Linked DNA regions of Callithrix jacchus. The protein of the gene in region 1 purifies or fractionates together with the protein of each later gene. This does not show direct contact. Links are inferred from orthologs where the notes say so. Each region holds a gene or a part of one and is shown in the gene's direction. Other genes may lie near its edges. The genes, in order: DHX15, TFIP11 and SF3B3.

Region 1 (3,751 bases):
AACGCCAAAAATGTTTGTTGAGTTAAGCAATAAAGATGAAACATAATTTAAAAGGTTTTATTTATTTTACGTGTGCTGTATTAACAGCTATAATAACAGAAGTAAAAGTTGTCAAGTAGATGTTGCAAACAATTATTTGAAGGTCTTTAAAAGATAAGAGAAACTTTGAGAAAAACACTAGAAAATTTTGTGATGATAAAATTGGAAGCAAATAGTACATCATTTGCCTTGGGATAGGTCTCTTCTGTTTCTTTCCTGTTTGTTCATTCTCTCTTTGGCTATATCTGTTAAGGAAGATGTGGCTTACATTAAGGCCAGATGGGCTCAGTAGCTAGAATATGAGCCTAAAGACACTCAGTTTCAGAGTCAAAAATCAAAGGAGATTGATGAGATGTCTGTATTTGAATCTGAGTAACAGTTAAGAATGTTTATTGTGGCATTTTATTATATAATACCTTAGGCTTATTAGAGTTTGGTGAATAATAGGCGTGAACATTTCTTTCTTGAAACTCTTTAACTATATTCTTAATATTTATTTTTATATGTACTGGCTTCTTTTTGACATGTTCTTTTCTTTTGAGGGCAAGGGGGTGCGGTAAGGTCGGGGAGGCAGGGTCTCACTCTGCCGCCCAGGCAGTAGTGCAGTGACTTCATCTCAGCTCACTGAACCTCCCAGGTTCAGGTGATTTTCCTGCCTCAGCCTGCCTAGTAGCTGGGATTACAGGCACCTACCACTAAGCCCAGCTAATTTTTGTATTTTTAGTAGAGATGAGGTTTCACCACATTGACCAGGCTGGTCTCAAACTCCTGACCTCAGATGATCCACGCTTCCCAAAGTGCTGGGATTACAGGCATGAGCCACCGCACCCAGCTTTAGTTTTCTACCTTACACATGCATTTTCTGGTAATTGTTTGTCTGCTCATAGATGGCACCCTGTGCTGAAGAGCCTGCTCTAGATGGTCTATGGCAGGAAAGATCAGATAGTAAATGTTGGGCTCTGTGAACCCATGGGATCCCTGTCAAAACTAGCTGACACTGCCTGCCCTTGGAGCATGATAGCAGCTATAGACAAATGGGCATGCGTGTATTCTAATAAAACTTCCCTTATGGCCCTGAAGTTTGAATTTTACATGCTGTTCATGCTTCACGAAATGTTTTTCATATGATTTTTTTTTTTTCTAATTTTTTAAAGATGTATAAATTATTGTGAATTCACAGACCTTACAAATAGAGGCTATGAGTTGGATTTGGCCCACAGGCAGCAGTTTGTTTATTTCTGCTTTTATCAGGCAGTAATAAATAAGTATAGCTATAGAATGAAAAGTAAAAGGTAGGCCTGCCTTTCCTAGTTATATAGGTAACTTTACAACTAGCACATCAAAATCATTGCATTAATGATATGCTGGATTTTGGTTTCAGGTGGCACATTTGGAGCGAACAGGGCATTACTTAACTGTGAAAGATAACCAGGTGGTTCAGTTGCATCCCTCTACTGTTCTTGACCACAAACCTGAATGGGTGCTTTATAATGAGTTTGTTCTAACAACAAAGAATTACATCCGGACATGTACAGATATCAAGCCAGAATGGTAAGTACCCCTTTTGTTCTAATAGGTTTTTGTTAGTTTGCTCAAAATGGAACCTGACTGTTGGTCATGACTAGAGTCATGGCCTTGCCTTCACTTATTAAGGATATATATTTCATTGTGTAGGTATGAGGGAATTGACTGGATGTATTGTTAATCTTTCATACCCTTCCTTTGATAAGTGGACAGTGGAATTGATGACATTTATGGACAGGATTTGAAGCCAAATGTAAAGTTACATTTGAAGAGCATGAAAAGTTTCTTTAGGGGCCAGGCATGGTGGCTCACGCCTATAATCCCAGAACTTGGGGAGGCCAGGGTAGGAGGATCACTTGAAGCCAGGAGTTTAAGACCAGCCTGTACAATATAAAAATATATATAGATGTGTATAAAAATTAGCTGGGCATGGTGGTGCTGCACACCTATAGTCCAGCTACTGGGGAGGCTGAGGCAGGAGGATTGCTTGAGCCCAGGAGTTTAAAGTTGCAGTGAGCTGTAATCATGCCATTGTACTCCAGGCTGGATGACAGAGTGAGACCCTGTCTGTTAAAAATATTTTTTTTTAAGGTTTTTTCTTTTTTAAAAAAAATTTAGAGTTTTTTTGGAGCCATTCTCTTGCTATTGTGATTATCTCAAGTCAGTACTGTTTTCTTGTTTGCAGAAGTCAGCTTTTTTAAAAAACATTTCATTTGTCTCATTACAATTAGCTCTCAACTATTTATTATTTATATATTGGTTTTTAGGAACTGTGCAGGCATAAAAATAATAGCTCTTTGTGTTTTAACATACTAGGTTTTACAAAATGTAAACAGAACAGATTGTTTCATTTTAAGAAAAGTAACCCCCACATGTTTTTATTTGTTTGTTTATTTATGCCAGAATCTATTCTGTAACCTGTGATAGGAAATGTTGGCCAAGAGTAGTGGGACTGAAGGCACTTAGTCTAGGTGCTGTCACTGCTTTATATTGTACAGCTGCTTTCTTACACAGATTTGGGACTTTTGACAAACTGTGTAGGACATTACCATTTTATCTTAAATGCTTTGTTGAGAAAAAAATTGCATAGCTAAACTTTATAAAAGATTTCAGTCAAGTGTATTTTGGGGATATAAAGTTATATTTATAGTTATTAAAGCATTGAAAAAACATTGAAAATGAGAAGATCCAATCATTTGAATACCATGATGTTCTCTACACAGAACCTGTCTTATTACTGTATCCTTGGAGAGGCAAGTTAAAATAGTGTGCCAGAGTAAAGAAATCGGTGACATTATATGTTACCTTTACATTAATGTATCCTGAGGGTTCTTTTTTTTTTTTTAAGTTTATGGTAAGTCCAACATTAGAAAATGTACATCTTACTAAATACCTAACATTTCTAAAAGTGCTATTTGTAAGGATTAGTTATTTGTGTTTTTATGAGACTTGAATTCATAGATTTGCCTTGGTTCTGTATATTAATGAATAATGCCTATTCTGTTAACAACTCCAGAACTTTAATTAAATGTTTATTTGGTCATTTTCCCCCCTTTCTAAACAGGTTGGTGAAAATTGCCCCTCAATATTATGACATGAGCAATTTTCCACAGTGTGAAGCAAAGAGACAGTTGGACCGCATCATTGCCAAACTTCAATCCAAGGAATATTCACAGTACTGAATTCAGTGCTTAGAACTGAAGCTATTCAGAGGACAGCTTTAAAAGATGAATGAACTCAAAAGTTCAAGTTGTGCTCTTCACGTTGGTTCGATAATGGCCTTTATTTGAAAGCTTTTTAATTTTTCTTTACAGTAAATATTCCATTCTGATTTCATAAATTAAACATTTATGCCTCCCTTTTGTGTTGACACTGTAGCTCATACTGGAAAAGTCGATCAATGTTTTGCAGTTTATTGAAAGTAGTTCTATATATAACAATGTTATAAGCATTTCTTTAGAAATGGTTGAAAATGCTTCTAAAATGTGATTATCGACCATGGTATGCATGATCGTTGTAATTGTTGACATTCCTTTTAGAAGTTGTGAAATGTTACAACTTGTGCTTATGTAGACACAATCTTCTGTCTCAGTACAGAGGCACTGACTTCAATAAAGTCTATTTATACTAATTTTGGCCAAAGCCCTTTGGTATCTTTGTTCTGGTCTCTTAAGTATAAGTGTTTTTC
Region 2 (3,651 bases), on another chromosome or scaffold:
TGCTGAGATTACAGGCATGAGCCACCATCCCTGGCCTCACTGACTTAATTATCAGTGTTTATTGAGTGATTACTATGTATCGGGCCTGTGCTATAGACCCCTACTTGCTTTCCTGGAGCCCAGATTCTAGAAGAGGGAAATAGGCATTAACAACTCAGACAATGAAACTTGTAACTGAGATGTAGGACATGAAGGAGAGCATATTTTAGGGCATTTCACCTATTCTGAGAGGTCAGGGAAGATTTCTCTGGAGAAAAGTGACCCTTAAGCGGTTATGACAGACAGTAGAAGATAACTAGGGTGGTAGAAGAGGTCTGAGTATGCAGAGCCGTCGATAGGAGGCATCACAGCGTCCACAAGGGTATGAAAGGCTTTGGGGGCTGGAGCAGAGAGGGGGGAGGGGAGCATAGTGTGTGTGATAGAGAGGATGTGATGTGGGGCTGGGTTATGTTTTGAGAAGACCCTTTTGCTGGTGTGCTCAATGGGTGTGGAGCCACAGTGGAAGATAGCGTGGTGATGTGAGGAGGCCAAGCCAGTGGTCCCTGCGGAGGTAGTGGAGGCCTGGGCTGGGATAGTGGTGGGTGATGAGGATTCAGGCTGCACATCTTCCCAGCACAGGGTTATATGTGCCCTGGCTAAAACTCACTCCACCAGGGTGTGCCAGGTTGGGGTTTTTTTTCCTCCATGGCCTCACCTGTGGCCTCTAGGCTCCATCCCATTGAGAGTGTGCCTTTTTCCTTCTTTCTTTATTTATTTTTTTGAGATGGAGTCTTGCTTTGTGGCCAGGCCAGAATACAGTGGTGCAAACTTGGCTCACTGCAACTTCCACCTCCTGGTTTCAAGTGATTCTCCTGCCTCAGCCTCCTGAGTCGCTGGAACTACAGGTGCATGCCACCACACCCAGCTAATTTTTGTATTTTTAATAGAGATGGGGTTTCACCGTGTTGGCCAGGATGGTCTCCATCTCTTGACCTTGTGATCCACCCGCCTCAGCCTCCCAAAGGGCTGGGATTACAGGTGCGCGTGAGCCACCCCACCTGACCAAGAGTGTGCCTTTTTCAAAGGAGGCTGGGGTAGAAAGAGTACAGAGATTAGTCCAAGCTCTTCCATCAAGGAAGTCTGAAAGTGGATGACAGATAGATGAGGGATCAAGAATTGCATAAACATAAGATAATAATAACACATCTCTTTACTGCTTACTTGTTCTGGCTATTTCACAAACCTGGATTAATTTTCCCTATGAGAAAGGTACCATTATTATCCCCATTTTACAGATTAAGAGACTGAGACTAATGGTCGTACAGCTAGGCAGAGGCTAAGCTACAACTGGAACCTGAACCTATCTGTCTGACTCCAGAGTTTGGGATCTGGACCACTAAGTTACATTATATATCTTTAGGAAAAAACTCCCTGAATTCTCTTGTTGCCGTGGGGATGTTGAATTACTAAGTTGGTCATTTTACAAAGCATCACTTTATTTGCTATATTCCCAGGGTTTTTTTTTTTTTTTCTTTGAAACACAGTCTCACTCAGTTGCCCAGGCTGGAGTGTGCAGTGGCTCGACTTCAGCTCACTGCAACCTCTATCTCCTGGGTTCAAGTGATTCTCATGCCTCAGTGTTTTGAGTAGCTTGAGATTATAGGCGTGTGCCACCACACCCAGCTAAGTTTTTGTATTTTTATTAGAGACAGGATTTTTGCCATGTTGGCCAGACTGGTCTCAGAATTCCTGGCCTCAAGCCTCCCAGAATGCTGGAATTACAGGTGTGAGCCACTGTGCCCAGCTCCAGGGTCTTTCACTGTAATTTTTTCTTTTTTAAACCACACAGTACAAATATATCAACTTGATTTTATACAAAAAGGAGCTGAGGTTAATGACTTAATGTAAGTGCTTGAAGCAGTCAGAGTTTAAATCAGTATGTTTCATTTTACAGAGTTAATTTCTTATTTCTTAGGAGACTTCAGTGTAATTTTTTTTTTCCTTTTTTTTGGAGACAAGGTCTTGCTCTTTTGCCCAGGCTGGAGTGCAGTGACATGACCAGAGCTCATTGCAGCCTCAACTTCCCTGGGCTCAAGCAATCCTCTCATCTTAGCTTTCCATGTCGTGGGGGCCCCAGGCATGTACAACCACGCCTGGCTAATTTTGTTTATTTTTTGTAGAGACGAAGTCTCACCATGTTGCCCCAGCTGGAAATTTTCACATTCACATAAATTTAATGATACAAGCTTTTTCTAAGTTTGATTAATATAATTGTTACATACTTTACATTTATATGATCTTTCAGTGGGTTTTATTTATTCACGATTATCCATCAAAATTTCTGTTCCTGTTGGATTTCTGTACTTGAAATACTTTTCAAACAAATGCTTTTTATGATAAATTAATTGTTTAAAATGTAGGAAAATTGTATTATCACATCATATTTTGGATTTATAGTCAGCTCTGCATTGAATAATAACTCTTCAGCTGTCGAGGAATTGGTGTGACTACAGGAAGCCAAATCTAGGGTCCTTTTGATTTTTTGATGTATTAAAAAAAAGTGTTACTTTTTTAAAAAACCTTCCATGAGGTTCACTCTAAGGAGTTCTCAAGCATGTAGTTTCTGCAGAGAAAGGAGTTCTTTACATGCCCCGTGGGGTCTGTTTCTGTGCTTGCAGGGCCCGTGACTACTCTGCGCCAGTGAACTTTATCAGCGCGGGGCTCAAGAAAGGGGCGGCGGAGGAGGCAGAGTTGGAAGATTCTGATGACGAAGAGACACCTGTGAAGCAGGATGACTTTCCTAAGGATTTTGGACCCAAGAAGTTAAAAACGGTAGCGTTTCTATTGCAGGATTGTGACCCTAGTAATACCCTTCAAAGGTCATTGTGGCCCAAGCATTTTCTAGCCAGGGAGTTCATCTGGAACACAGTTTGTTTGAGTGTCTCCTTTTGGTGGCAGGTTTCTGTGAGATCTGAAGTGTGTAGTGCAGTCTCTTCCTTCCTGGCACGTACCAAACACATTTCTGGTTCATGTGACACTCTTATATAGCACTCTATAACTTAGGCCATTTTCCTGTTGACCAAGCTTCTTAGATTTTTCTTCTTTTTGTTTTTTTTCCATCTACTTTTATTTTTCTTTGCAGGGTGGCAATTTTAAGCCCAGCCAGAAAGGTTTTGCAGGAGGAACCAAATCTTTCATGGACTTTGGCAGCTGGGAAAGACACACAAAAGGAATTGGACAGAAGCTTCTTCAGAAGATGGGCTACGTCCCTGGACGGGGCCTCGGGAAGAATGCACAAGGTATTGCACCCTTGTCATCTTGCATGATGGAGGCCAGGCAGAGGGAAGGAGAGGGGCACTGAGAGAGGTGGTTTTCTTTTCCCTTTTAAAAGCACTTTCTCTTTCCAGCCAAATGTTTGCCAGCACAAGACATGTACGCTCCTAAGCTCCCTTGCTTTATCAAAGCTCAAGTTAAATAAAATAATTGTTTCAACAGGAAGAAAAGGGTTAGGGTCTAAAACAGGCTGCAAACAGATTGAAGACAGACTTTTTTTTGGTCCTGATCAGTGATTCTATCAACAAAAATGAGGCTGGGCATGGTGGCACACACCTGTAATCCCAGCACTTTGGGAGGCTGAGGCAGGTGGAATGCTTGAGGTCAGGAGTTCAAGAC
Region 3 (3,651 bases), on another chromosome or scaffold:
TCTTGAAGAAAATTTTGTGTAATCTGATCAGGCCTCTAGAGGGCAGTCCTCTCTGAGCAGTCACAAAATCGTTGGATCTAGTGAATAAAGCTGATAATTTTATGAATTACAATTTTTTAATATCCTTAAATCTAGGACTCATTAACAAATTTTGATGAGGTTGAGGGGTAGTGTTTTTTTTATTTTTATTTTTGAGATGGAGTCTTGCTCTGTTGTCCAGGCTAGAGTGCAGTGGTGTGATCTTGGCTCACTGCAACTTCTGCTTCTTGGGTTCAAGCGATTCTCCTTCCTCAGCCTCCTGAGTAGCTGGGTCTACAGGCACCCGACGTCATGCCTGGCTAATTTTTTTGTATTTTTAGTAGAGATGGGGTTTTACCGTATTGGCCAGGCTGGTCTCAAACTCCTAATGTTGTGATCTGCCTGCTTCGGGCCTCCCAAAGTGCTGCAATTACCGGTTTGAGCCACTGTTCCCTGACAGTGGGATATTTAAGATTCCTATTAGGAAGGAGGGGGCCACAATGATGCCATTGTCTTTTTTTTTTTTTTTGTCACCCAGACTGGAGTGTAGTGGTGTGCGATTTGGGCTCACTGCAACCTCCGCCTCTTGGGTTCAAGCGATTCTTTTGCCTCAGCCTCCTGAATAGCTGGGATTACAGGTGGCGTGCCACCATGCCTGGCTAATTTTTTGTATTTTTAGTTGAGATGGGGTTTCACCATGTTGGTTAGGATGGTCTTGAACTACTGACCTTGTGATCCACCCATCTCAGCCTCCCAAAGTGCTGGGATTACAGGTGTGAGCCACTGTGCCCAGCTGCCATTGTCTTTTTGAAAAACTATTTATTTATTTATTTTTAAAAGAAATGGGAGTCTCTCAAGAGATCGAGACCATCCTGGTCAACATGGTGAAACCCCGTCTCTACTAAAAATACAAAAAATTAGCTGGGCATGGTGGCGCGTGCCTGTAATCCCAGCTACTCGGGAGGCTGAGGCAGGAGAATTGCCTGAACCCAGGAGGTGGAGGTTGCGGTGAGCCGAGATTGCGCCATTGCACTCCAGCCTGGGTAACAAGAGCGAAACTCCGTCTCAAAAAAAAAAAAAAAGAAATGGGAGTCTCACTATGTTGCCTAGGCTGGTCTTGAACTCCTGGGCTCAAGCAATCCTTCCTTGACTTCCTGAAGTGCTGTGATTACAGGCTTGAGCCACTGTGCCTGGCTCTACTATCTATTGTCTTTTTTTTTTTTTTTTTTTTGGTGAGACAGTTTTGCTCTCGTTGCCCAGGCTGGAATGCAATGGCACAATCTTGGCTCACTGCAATCTCTGTCTCCCAGGTTCAAGCAATTCTCCTGCCTCAGCCTCCCAAATAGCTGGGATTAGAGGCATGCGTTACCACACCCAGCTAATTTTTTTGTATTTAATAGAGGTGGGATTTAACCATCTTGGCCAGGCTGGTCTTTAACTCCTGACCTCTTGATCTACCTGCCTTAGCCTCCCAAAGTGCTATTTTGATGATTGAGAACAGAATCCTGAGTTATACACTTACAGAGTTAGTGCTGTTAATAATTACTGAAAGAAAACCGGCTGGGCGCGGTGGCTCAAGCCTGTAATCCCAGCACTTTGGGAGGCCGAGGCGGGTGGATCATGAGGTCAAGAGATCGAGACCATCTTGGTCAACATGGTGAGACCCCGTCTCTACTAAAAATACAAAAAATTAGCTGGGCATGGTGGTGCGTGCCTGTAATCCCAGCTACTCGGGAGGCTGAGGCAGGAGAATTGCCTGAACCCAGGAGGCGGAGGTTGCAGTGAGCCGAGATTGTGCCATTGCACTCCAGCCTGGGTCACAAGAGCGAAACTTCGTCTCAAAAAAAAAAAAAAACAACCATGAAATGACTCTAGCTGTTCTGTAAGTCTCTCTTCTCATTATCTGGGAATCTTTTATGTTTTATCTCCTTCAACTACAGGTGCCATTGAGAAACAGAAATTGGTATATATCTTGAACAGGGATGCTGCAGCCCGTCTTACTATTTCATCTCCCCTGGAAGCCCACAAAGCAAACACTTTAGTATATCACGTAGTTGGAGTAGATGTTGGATTTGAAAATCCAATGTTTGCTTGTCTGGAAATGGATTATGAGGTAATGGGGACCATGTCTCTTTGGATTTCTTTCAGTCACCTCAGTGTTTAAGATTGTTTTCTTCCTTGTGCATCTTTTTTTTTTTTTTTTTTTTTTGAGACAGAGTCATGTTCTGTTGACCAGGCTGGAGTGCAGTGGCACGATAACAGCGCACTGTAACCTCTGCCTCCCAAGTTCAAGCTGTTCTTTAGCCTCAGCCTCTTGAGTAGCTGGGACTACAGGCGTTCCCACCACACCCAACTAAAAATAATTGATGTATTTTTAGTAGAGATGGGGTTGCACCATGTTGGCCAGGCTGGTTTTGAGCTTCTGACCTCAGGTGATCAGCTCACCTCAGCTTCCCAAAGTGCTAGGATTACAGGTGTGAGCCACCTTGCCCAGCTCCTTGTGCCTATCTTAGTTCTGTCTTGCTAACAGATCTCCATATTACAAATGCCTTAGTGAAATTCTTTGGGATGTTTCTGAGGTTAACCAACAATTAAATAGCCTTTCTCTGATTTAAGTAATCTCCCTATGGAAACAAGGTTTTTATTGGGAAAAGCTTCATGCAAAAGCTGAAGCTATGTTTAATGTATTTTTTCACAGAGCATACTGTTCTTTGCCTTGAATGGAAGGCAGTATCCTCTAGTAAAGAGATCCCTGGATCCAGAATTTGGAGATTCCACTTCTTCTAGCTCTGCCATTATTTTGTAGTATAAACTTTGTCAAATTATTTGGCATGGTGTAGTGGCATGTGCCTGTAGTCCTAGCTGTTTGGGAGCCTGAGGCCCAGGAATTCTAGGCTGCGGTGAGTTAAGATTGTACTACTGTGCACTGTAGCTTGAGTGACAAGAGTGAAAACCTGTCTTTCGACAACAACAACGAAAATTGACATCTATGGACCTCTGTTTCCTCATTTGTAAAATGGAGTCCTGATGTCCTTTCCAAATCTGTGCATTTTTAGATTTTATGCTGCTGATTAGTTTTTATGCCACTGTTCTCTGTAGGAAGCAGACAATGATCCGACAGGGGAAGCAGCAGCTAATACCCAGCAGACACTCACTTTTTATGAGCTAGACCTTGGTTTAAATCATGTGGTCCGAAAATACAGTGAACCTTTGGAGGAACATGGCAACTTCCTTATTACAGGTACTTATCTTTCAGAGCTGCTCTGTATCCTTTTAGTTGTTTCATTTTATACCCAAACCTAATAGGTTTTGCTTAATAGGGTTTGAGTATTAATTCATTTGCGGTAAATCTGAATACCTTGTCTCTCTTTTTGAGAGGTTAGAATTTCATGTGGTGGAGTGATTTTTAAAAGTGTTGGAGATAGACTGTCTAGCTCCTTAATAACTCATATTAAGGACATATTAAGTAGACAAGTTTAAGGGAGCAGTCAGCTTGGAATATTGATTACTTACTGTTAGTTGCTGTGACAGTTTGGCTATAGTCACTCTTTACCCCTCAATCAAACCTAGCTCTTTGAAAAGCCAAATGAAATGGACTAAACCCATCAAGATAAAACTTGTGAATTTGAAAAC

Evidence for each region.
Region 2: the proteins of DHX15 (region 1) and TFIP11 purify together in Homo sapiens (co-immunoprecipitation; 4 studies listed by BioGRID and IntAct, with this or other methods). This does not show direct contact. The link is inferred for Callithrix jacchus from reciprocal best matches to the Homo sapiens genes DHX15 and TFIP11.
Region 3: the proteins of DHX15 (region 1) and SF3B3 purify together in Homo sapiens (co-immunoprecipitation; 4 studies listed by BioGRID and IntAct, with this or other methods). This does not show direct contact. The link is inferred for Callithrix jacchus from reciprocal best matches to the Homo sapiens genes DHX15 and SF3B3.

What each region holds. Positions count from the first base shown.
Region 1 is NC_133504.1:169,328,999-169,332,749, forward strand, and holds the end of DHX15 (ATP-dependent RNA helicase DHX15), read left to right. Parts: intron 1-1,420; coding exon 1,421-1,590; intron 1,591-3,127; coding exon 3,128-3,245; 3' UTR 3,246-3,694; downstream 3,695-3,751.
Region 2 is NC_133502.1:197,235,706-197,239,356, reverse strand, and holds part of TFIP11 (tuftelin-interacting protein 11), read left to right. Parts: intron 1-2,657; coding exon 2,658-2,811; intron 2,812-3,121; coding exon 3,122-3,278; intron 3,279-3,651. UniProt on the Homo sapiens protein: Involved in pre-mRNA splicing, specifically in spliceosome disassembly during late-stage splicing events. Intron turnover seems to proceed through reactions in two lariat-intron associated complexes termed Intron Large (IL) and Intron Small (IS).
Region 3 is NC_133521.1:31,389,883-31,393,533, reverse strand, and holds part of SF3B3 (splicing factor 3B subunit 3), read left to right. Parts: exon of another isoform or gene 1-35; intron 36-1,958; coding exon 1,959-2,131; intron 2,132-3,117; coding exon 3,118-3,259; intron 3,260-3,651. UniProt on the Homo sapiens protein: Component of the 17S U2 SnRNP complex of the spliceosome, a large ribonucleoprotein complex that removes introns from transcribed pre-mRNAs.